Linked DNA regions of Coturnix japonica. The protein of the gene in region 2 interacts with the protein of the main gene of each other region in a biochemical or structural test. Links are inferred from orthologs where the notes say so. Each region holds a gene or a part of one and is shown on either strand. Other genes may lie near its edges.

Region 1 (4,599 bases), on a different chromosome or scaffold from region 2:
TTGTTTCAGGCACAGTCACTGCAGGTGATTGAACTCCTGGTCAGCAAAAGGAGACTGCTGACAATGCCTCAGCCTTCAGTGATAAGTGAATGCTTAATATATATTGTATTTGCTACCTTTCAGTCTTTTCTCATGGCTGTCAAGAATACGGAGTACAATTAAATACATGCATATGAGTATTGATTAAAAGCCCTCTTTAAACTAAACAGGTAATCAAAAAAAGGGCCTCCCCCCCCGCCCCCCCCCCCACCCCAAAAATAAATTATGCAGTATTTTTCCTTCCATACACAGAATATATATCTCAGAAAGATACCAGTATGTGATGTATAATTATGGCTGACTTGTCAGCTGTCCTTACTGCTACGAGCAGACAGCCTCCCTTCGGAGGATGATGAAATCAGAAGGCTTCTTGAGTAAGCGCATGTGACAAACCACACTGGTTGCTGATGGCATCCCTGTGCCTCCACCAGATTGCTCCCTACTCATTTAGTGGGACAGTGGGACTGTCTCTAAAAACCGTACTTTTTAATGCATTCTGAACACACTTTAGGTATTTCCAGATTGCTTTTTTCTATAAGAGAAACTTACAGTACGTCAGTGTATTAAGCAGTTACACCATTTCTGCTAAACTACAGAAATTCTGAGGGCGGGCTATACAGCACACTGTATGCTCAGAATCAACCCCAGCCATCCCTGTGGCCCATGTTATGAAGGGACACATTACAGGAGGGCTGAATTTGGGCCCCAGACATTCCACCTGCCTTTCTTCTTCCACTTCTGATCTCTGGGTTATGCATGCTCTTGACCTGGACTGATGATGGAGAGATGACAGTGGGTGTTGAGAATGACCTGGCTTCTTGCCCTCAGTCTCACTCAGGCACAATCTCAGCCCATGCTTATTGGGTATCAGAAGAGTATAGACAGAATATGCTAAAAGCCATTGATTTCTTCCTTCCAAGTACAACCCTAGAGAAGGGTAGCTACAGGAGACAGGGCTGTGTCTCAAAAGAGAAGACTTGTCTCCGTGTGTCAACTTTTACACCCTTCACCTCTGTGAATACTATTACCAAAGTTGACAAAACTATTTTCTGGAATCAGGCAAACAGAATTGGTCCATGACATAAAGGTATAACGGCATGGTCACGTGTCACTGTGTTTTCAGAAGAAAAGCTAACAACCTGTGAAGAATACTACACACCAACAAACCCACTCAAGGGGTACTTGTTAGTTTACAGGATTGTAAGAAAGCTGCTCTATAATACCTTGACTACAGCAGCTCCAATAGGAGCAGGATCTGGACTTGTTTTGTTCTCATTGATCATTTTCCTTTGGATATACATTGAAACTTTAAGCTAATAATTGACCTACCACACTGTTAGAGCCTATGCATGTTATCACTGCATCGATCGCCTGATTCTAGCCCAGAAAAGCAAGGAAACTGAGAAAGAAAAACGCAATCCTACATTGTATGCTCAGTCAATAACCTCCCTACACCCATCTTTGTCTGACTGAACGTACCAGGAGTTTTGACAGTGGGCCAAGTCCTTGCCCTACTGCAACCGGCACAAAGTTTGCCGCAGCTATCAAAGCAGAATGGAGCTGTGCCTTTACTACAGCACAATAAAAAGCCGTCACCCCACGCGACCCAGGCTCCTGCAGAGAGCTTAGACAAAACCTCACTCTGAACGTTCAAATTCTGGAGCTGGCAGCTTATCTCTGGGTTTACAAAGCCAAGTTTACATCCCTGATAATGTCTACAGGATATGCTGACATTGCTGGGCGAAAAGCGCAAGCCAGCGGCGGGTTGCCAGCAGGTCACTGAGCTCCACAGCCACAGATGTGCTGTATCTCAGGTTGGAGTGAGACAGCAGGGCTGAGCCATCCTGATGCCCCTTTTGTTTGTTACTACCTAAGAGACTGTAGTACCCCTGTGTCTCTGGGGCTTGTTTGAGTGGCAGTGACATGAGCGCATCTCCCTTCCAAAGGAAGCAATTATTTTTTTCCCTAAAGTATCTGAGCTGAACAGCAAGAAACTATTCAGATCCAGTGCCCTAACTTCATCTGTTTCTTGTGCAGCCACCAAACGAGAATACTTTCTAAACAAACTCACTTCTGGACGACACTGCATTTTCCACATGAAACAGGCACTGTACATTCAGGACGATGTCCTTTTGCTGCTGCCCTCTAACAAACCCCACGGCCACCCGGGCAGTGTCAATGCCAAGAACCACCGACCCACGGCGAAAAGGAGGGGACACCCCAAAGCCCCGGCGCCAACAAAAACTCCCTCCCCCTCCCTCCTTGCTCTGCCATTCTCGGCCGGGGGCTCACCTGCCCATACAGCCGCCCCGCCTCGTCCATGCAGAGGTAGCGGGAGCTCCGCACGCCCTTGATGGCCACGGTTCGCACCGCCACGGCGCGGATCTCCAACAGACCTGCGGGGAGAGGGAACGTGCCGTCAGCTCCGCGCCGCCGCCCACCCTCCCGCCCGTCCGTCCCGTCCCGTCCCGTCCCGTACCATCCCGTCCCGTCCCGTCCCTTAGAGCCCAGCACTCACTTTGCGGGCTCTGGCTACCGACAGCGTCCACCCGACCGTCGCCGCCGATGCGCAGGAAGCAGCTGAAGAGCCCGTGCTTGCTGGCGGTGTAGAGGTGCCGCAGCCGGATGGGTTCCCCCCAGCCGTAATTGACGTGCGGGCCCGCGTCGGGCAGCGGCAGGGACCTGGCGGCGGCGGCGGCGGCTGCGATCCCCAGCAGCGCCAGGGCAGCGCCGGGGGCGGCGGGGCGAAGCCCCATCCGCGGCGGCCTCGGATTCAGACTCGGGCTCGAGTCGGACGGCGGCGTTGCCGCGGGCGTTGCAGGGGCGGTGCGGTACGGGGTTGGGCGCTCTGTGCAGCCGGCGGTGTCGCGGGAGGGATGTAGCACGGGCCGAGCCGGCCCCCCGGCTTTTTATAGGCCTCCGTTATCAGCCCGATCTGTTCGGTCGCATCCAGCTCCAATATAGAGCCCGTTTCATAGCGGGAATTGGTCGGGTCGGGTCACTCCCCCCGAAAATATTGATTAGATGACATCATGTCGCAGGGGACACCCTGGAGGAGTCTCTCCCTCCCCATCGCATCTCCGAGCTTTCCCTCGAAGCTCATCCGCGCCGAGCCCCTGCGAACCGAGCTGCACGGGACGGGACGGGACGGGGCGGGCATGGGTAGGATAGGGTCGGGTCCTGTAGCCCCGATGCGAGCACGAAGCACGGGAAAAAGGACCACGGGTGCGAGACCCAAAAGGCACCAGCGGTCACGTAGAGGTGAGGGAGCAGCTCGCCCACTCGGGGGACATCACTCCGCCCGCCCGGCTCTAGCGCTTGTCCATCCTATATTCCCATTTCAGAACTAAGCTAGTTCTACACTGGGATGCTCGTGTAACCCGCCCAGAGAAAAGAGCCGTGGGCAGGGCAGATCTTCACGCTTGAGCTTGGCGGCTCCGGGGCTCCGCGGCCACCATCCTGTTTTCTCCCAGCTGGCGCCGCTCCGCCGCGACGTGAGCACGGGGTGAGAGCGGCCACTGCCCGGCACCGGAGCGACGCCCGGCCCGGCACCCGCTGGCTCGTCAGATCTTGACACGTCCCGGCACAGCATGGCACGGCACGGCACGGCACTGCATGGCACGGCACGGCACGGCACTGCATGGCACGGCGCCTCGGGACGGACCGGCGCCGCTCCCGGGCTGCTTTGCCACCCGGCCATCCCCGACTGTACCGCTAGATGGAGCCGGGTGCCCGGGTGCGGGCTGACCTCTCCGTCGGGTATCTGCTATTGGGGTCTCTGGCCCATCTTCCCATTCGCGCAGAGAAATCGGCAAAAAAAAAGTGTGCGTAACGAAACCGAGCAGAGGCCAGACATAGGTATCAAATAGGTTTGTATGCTGACGGCTTTTACCATGCTGGGGTTCACCCTGTGAATGCACCAGGCAAGTGGGAGAGCAGTACTATGTAATCCATATGTACTATGTTTATCTTTTTCAGGACACTTCAGGGGACTGCTGCTGATTTTCCTGTTATCTATCCAAACTGAGCATTATACGAATTTTCTCATATCCCGAGAGGGAAAATAGGCACCAGTAGGATTTCATTAAATAAAAAGAAAATTCTTCTTCCATAGGACACTCGAACTATCAATTAAGCAGAACACAGCCCCATACCCCTAGCAGAATTTCAGAAGCAAGCGAGCAAAGAAATAAATCCTTTCAAATTTCATTGCCTGATTATTTTTTGTCTTTCTATTTGTACACTTTCATCTTTATCCTGTGCGCACTCCTGCAAACATCTCTCCTTTTTGAGCAACCCAAGCTCGTTGAGGCTGAGCAAATAGACAAGACCATGTGACAGTACAGAGCTTTATGGGTTGATAACCCACTCTTGTATGGATGGACTTCTATACATCCTAACCGTGTGCACCCTGTGGCACTGAGGTTTGTCACACTGATTAATCAGTGCCTAGATGATCAGGGCCTTGCAGCACCTGCTCCCTGCAGCAAGAGAGTTGGGTCACACCAAAGAAGCACGGTTTTCTCATATGGCTGATGAGTCATTAATGAAAATGAGGGT
Region 2 (4,527 bases):
TGCCGCTCCCACCACCCAAGGCCTGACCGCTGCCTCTGCTTTGCTGGGCATCTCCGTGCCCCTCTTTTGGTTCTGTTTGGTTCAGATGGAGCCAAAGCGCTTTTCTGCACTTCCGGCACTTTTCAAAGCCCTGTGGAGGCGGCTGCTGCTCCGTGAAATTGATGTTCTCGTCCGCTTCACGCGCCGGCAGGAATGTGCCGTGCGGAACAGCTGCCGGGGGCTGCGGCCGTGGGGGCTCCGGGAAGGGAGCGGGACCCCAGGAGGGAGCGGCCGAGCACAGCACGCGGCGCTGCTGCAACCCGGAGTCACGGCCCCGAGCAACGGGGGGGGACAGCGGCAGCCCCCGGACGGCGCAACATCGCGGCACCGTCTCAAAGCGGCTCCGCGGGGAGCTCCGGGGCTCGGCTCCCGGCTTCGTTCCCGCACGGACCGGGAAAACGGGACGCGGCCGGGACCGCTCCCGGTGTCGGGGGTCTCTCCGCGGAGAGGTGTTTATGGCACGGATTAGGGCCGGGCCGGCCCCGCCTCGCAGCCCCGCGGTGTTTTACGACGCAGCCTTATGGACTCCTAATGGGGGTCACGGCCACTTGATGGCCCCGGCAGCGATAACGCCGCGCTAATTGCAGCGGCGGCAATTAGCCCGAGCGCCCAGCCACGGGAACGGCGCCCAGCAACGCGCCGCGGGGGCTGCGGGCTGCGGGCGGTGGGCGGCGCCGAGAAACGGCCGGGACCCGGGGGCGGGGGATCGCGGGGGCCCCGCACGCCGTGACGTTACGCGAGTGACGTGAACGCGCCTCGTGCGCGTGACGTGGTCCCGGGCAGCGGGCGGGGCCGGGGCCGCCCCCGGCGAGGCCGCCCGCGGCGCCGCGTAACCCGAGCGCCGCCCTACAAAGTGCCCGCGCCCTCGGCACAGCGCGGCGGGGCGAGAGTCGGGGCCGCCATGGGGCCGCGGCGCTGAGCGGAGCCCGCCCGGCCCCGCAGGACTTTGCCCGGGCCCTCCCCGACGAGGCCGGTGCGGGGCCGGAGCAGCCGGAGCAGCCGCGCCGTCGGGGCTCCGCGCAGCCGGCGCTGCCCGACGGTCGCGGGGCGCCGCAGCTCCTGGCCGCGGTGCCGCTTCCCACGGGAGGCCCGGAAGATGCTGCCGCTCTGGCTCGTCCTGGCGGGGCTGCTGCTGGCGGTCGGCCCGGCCGCTTCGCACCGCGGGGAGATGGAGCCAGGTACGGACGGGACGGCTGGGGGGGTGAAGGCGGCTCCGGTGCTGGTTTTTCCCGGCCCCGCTTCTCGTGCTTTCGAGCATCGGCAGCCCGGCTGCGGGCTGGGCTGGGTGCTGCGGGCGGTGCCGGTGCGGTGCGGTGGGGCGCACGCGGTGCTGACAGCTGCGGGGCTCGGGGCGCGGCGGCGGCGCGTGGAACACGCGGACAGGGCGGGGGCTGCGGGTCCCGGAGCGGCCGAACCGTCGCTGCTTTGGTTTGTCCCAGCGGTGGTTTTGCTCCGAGCGGCTCTTGAGTTTAGTACAGAGCTGAATATTTGCTTTGGAGCCGCTTTACCAGCGTGGGCCGGGTCCGCGGGGAGCCGGAGGTGGTGGTGGAACTTTGACGCTGATCGCTCCCGGTTCCTTCCCGTCCCAGTACGGCAGAATGGGCGCAGACCCCTCTGGAAGGACCGTGGCGTGGGTGGCCTTGGCCGGGAACGCGGCAGTGCCAGGCGGTCGCGGGGGAAGCCTTGTCCCAGCGCCCGGGGGCAGAGTCCAGCCCTTGTACACGCGTCTCTGGCCAGGACGTGTGTGTGTGTGTGTGTGTGTGTGTGTGTGTGTGTGTGTGTGTGCGCTGTGCACGCCGAGAAGCGCGGTGGGTTCCTGCTGTCCGGGGCGCTGTGCGCGGCGCTCAGCGCGTCTCTCCCGGGCTGCAGAGCTGATTGAGAGCCCGCTGCTGGAGTCGGAGGAGCAGCAGCTCCTGTTGGAGCCGGGCAATGCTCTGAAGCTGCACTGCAACGCTAACCGCAGCGGTGCCACTGTGGTCTGGTACAAGGAGTCGCGGCCGCTGCTCCCGGGGCCCCGCGTCCGCCTCCAGCCGGGCACAGTGCAGATCTCTGAGGTCGCCTACGAGGACTCGGGGCTGTGTGTGTGTCGGGCGCGGGGCACCGGGGAAGTCCTGCACAACTTCACCATCTCTGTAGTGGGTGAGGGCCCGGAGCAGCACTGAGGGGAGCACAGCCTGATTTACCCCATCCTGAAGACAGGGGCACCCCTCGTGACCCGCTTTCCTTTGCAGACTCGCTGGCATCGGGTGATGACGATGAAGACAGTGATGGGGATGGTCCCCACGGAGACCGCAGCGAGGAGCCGGTCTATGTGCACAGAGGTGAGTGCTGTCATGGGGGGAGCGACTGGGGGCAGCCCCCACCCGAGGCCATAAGCCACATCCCACGATGCCCCCCGTCTCTCCCCAGCACCGTACTGGACTCACCCTCACCGCATGGACAAGAAGCTGTATGCTGTCCCTGCGGGGAACACCGTCAAGTTCCGCTGCCCGGCCTCGGGCAGCCCCAGCCCCAGCATCCGCTGGTTCAAGAATGGACGTGAGTTCCGGGGGGAGCACCGCATCGGGGGCATACGGGTAAGGGCCCCCCCCCATGTCATCCTCTCCTCCTGGTGTCTGGCTCAGCTGCAGCCCCCTGAACCTGTTGCTCCCCGTCGCAGCTCCGGCACCAGCACTGGAGCCTGGTGATGGAGAGCGTGGTGCCCTCGGACCGTGGCAACTACACCTGTCTGGTGGAGAACAGGTTCGGCAGCATCCGCTACAGCTACCTGCTGGATGTGCTGGGTGAGGGTCCGCAGGTGGTGCCAGGGGGGTCCCTGCTGCCACTGTGCTGGCGAGAGGGGATGGGCTGCAGGGGATGAAGGCAGAGGAGCCCATCCTCATCTGCTCTGCTTGAGCAGCCCTCGTGTCCCAGCACCTGAGGGAGGTAGGGCTGGGACCCCCCTGGGTACTGTGTGTGACTTTGCCCCTATGCCCTGTGTGCAGAGAGGTCCCCGCACCGGCCCATCCTGCAGGCGGGGCTGCCTGCCAACACCACTGCCCTGGTGGGCAGCGACGTGGAGTTCTTCTGCAAGGTGTACAGCGATGCCCAGCCCCATATCCAGTGGCTGAAGCACATTGAGGTGAACGGCAGCAGCTATGGCCCTGACGGGGTGCCCTACGTGCAAGTGCTCAAGGTAGCAGCTGGGGGGTGGCAGGGTCACATGGAGCTTGTCCCCACACAGGGATGCTCACGGTCCCTCGTTCTGCCCACAGACCGCAGATATCAACAGCTCCGAGGTGGAGGTGCTGTACCTGCGCAATGTCACCATGGAGGACGCAGGCGAGTACACCTGCCTGGCAGGGAACTCCATCGGCCTCTCCTACCAGTCAGCGTGGCTCACTGTGCTCCCAGGTAGGGCTGAGGTTAGAGCTGGGGTTAGGGCTGAAAGCAGCATGGGGACCGTGGTGTGGACTGACGTGTGCTCTCCTTCTAGAAGAAGAGCTGGTGCATGAAGCTGAGACCTCCGAGGCCAAGTACACCGACATCATCATCTACACGTCGGGCTCGCTGGCTGTGGCCATGGCCCTCATCATCGTGGTGCTGTGCCGCATGCAGACACAGTCGAGCAAGCAGCCCCTGGAGCCCATGGCAGTGCACAAGCTCTCCAAATTCCCACTCATCCGACAGGTGAGGGCTGAGCTGGGGGCACCTTGGTGACAACTGGCCCTGCTGCTGCCACCTGTCCCTGTTGCTTGTCCTTGGGGCTGCCCTCACCCCATTGCTCTCAGCAGCACCAGGTCTCAGTGTGACTCCCAGGTGTCTGAGGGCTGCTGTGCTGTCCCCGCAGTTCTCCCTGGACTCCAGCTCATCAGGGAAGTCCAGCACGTCGCTGATGCGTGTCACCCGCCTCTCCTCCAGCTGTGCCCCCATGCTGGCGGGCGTCGTGGAGATGGACCTGCCCCTGGATTCCAAGTGGGAATTCCCTCGAGAAAAGTAAGGAGCTGGAGAGGGCTGGCAGTGCCGGGGCACTGTGCCCCATGGGCTTGGAGCAGGGTCAGCCCCACTGTGTGCTCACAGCTCTGCCTCCCCTGGCAGGTTGGTGCTGGGGAAGCCCCTGGGCGAGGGCTGCTTTGGGCAGGTGGTGCGGGCGGAGGCGTACGGCATCGACAGGCAGTGGCCGGACCGAGCTGTCACCGTGGCTGTCAAAATGCTCAAAGGTATCAGTCGTGCTGTGGCGTCCTGGGCATGGCTGCTGCATTGGTGCCACCCCAGCATCAGTGACACGGCCCTCTGTCAACAGACAACGCCACTGACAAAGACCTGGCTGACCTCATCTCCGAGATGGAGATGATGAAGCTGATGGACAAGCACAAGAACATCATCAATTTGCTAGGAGTGTGCACGCAGGACGGTGAGGGGCTCAGGGGCAGGGGGGTGCTGGGGTGGATGGGGCAGGGCTGAGTGCTGTGTGTCTTCCCTAGGGCCCCTCTATGTGATAGTGGAGTT

The links. The genes of interacting proteins can lie anywhere in the genome.
Region 1: the proteins of FGFR4 (region 2) and FGF19 form a complex in vitro, tested with the Homo sapiens proteins (2 studies listed by BioGRID and IntAct). The link is inferred for Coturnix japonica from reciprocal best matches to the Homo sapiens genes FGFR4 and FGF19.

The regions. Positions count from the first base shown.
Region 1 is NC_029520.1:7,237,880-7,242,478, reverse strand, and holds the start of FGF19 (fibroblast growth factor 19), read right to left. Parts: upstream 3,131-4,599; 5' UTR 2,796-3,130; coding exon 2,558-2,795; intron 2,436-2,557; coding exon 2,332-2,435; intron 246-2,331; exon of another isoform or gene 1-245. UniProt on the Homo sapiens protein: Involved in the suppression of bile acid biosynthesis through down-regulation of CYP7A1 expression, following positive regulation of the JNK and ERK1/2 cascades. Stimulates glucose uptake in adipocytes. Activity requires the presence of KLB and FGFR4.
Region 2 is NC_029528.1:12,077,087-12,081,613, reverse strand, and holds the start of FGFR4 (fibroblast growth factor receptor 4), read left to right. Parts: upstream 1-1,622; 5' UTR 1,623-1,637; coding exon 1,638-2,178; intron 2,179-2,270; coding exon 2,271-2,360; intron 2,361-2,448; coding exon 2,449-2,615; intron 2,616-2,698; coding exon 2,699-2,822; intron 2,823-3,023; coding exon 3,024-3,214; intron 3,215-3,293; coding exon 3,294-3,432; intron 3,433-3,514; coding exon 3,515-3,708; intron 3,709-3,868; coding exon 3,869-4,014; intron 4,015-4,116; coding exon 4,117-4,238; intron 4,239-4,321; coding exon 4,322-4,432; intron 4,433-4,502; coding exon 4,503-4,527. UniProt on the Homo sapiens protein: Tyrosine-protein kinase that acts as a cell-surface receptor for fibroblast growth factors and plays a role in the regulation of cell proliferation, differentiation and migration, and in regulation of lipid metabolism, bile acid biosynthesis, glucose uptake, vitamin D metabolism and phosphate homeostasis.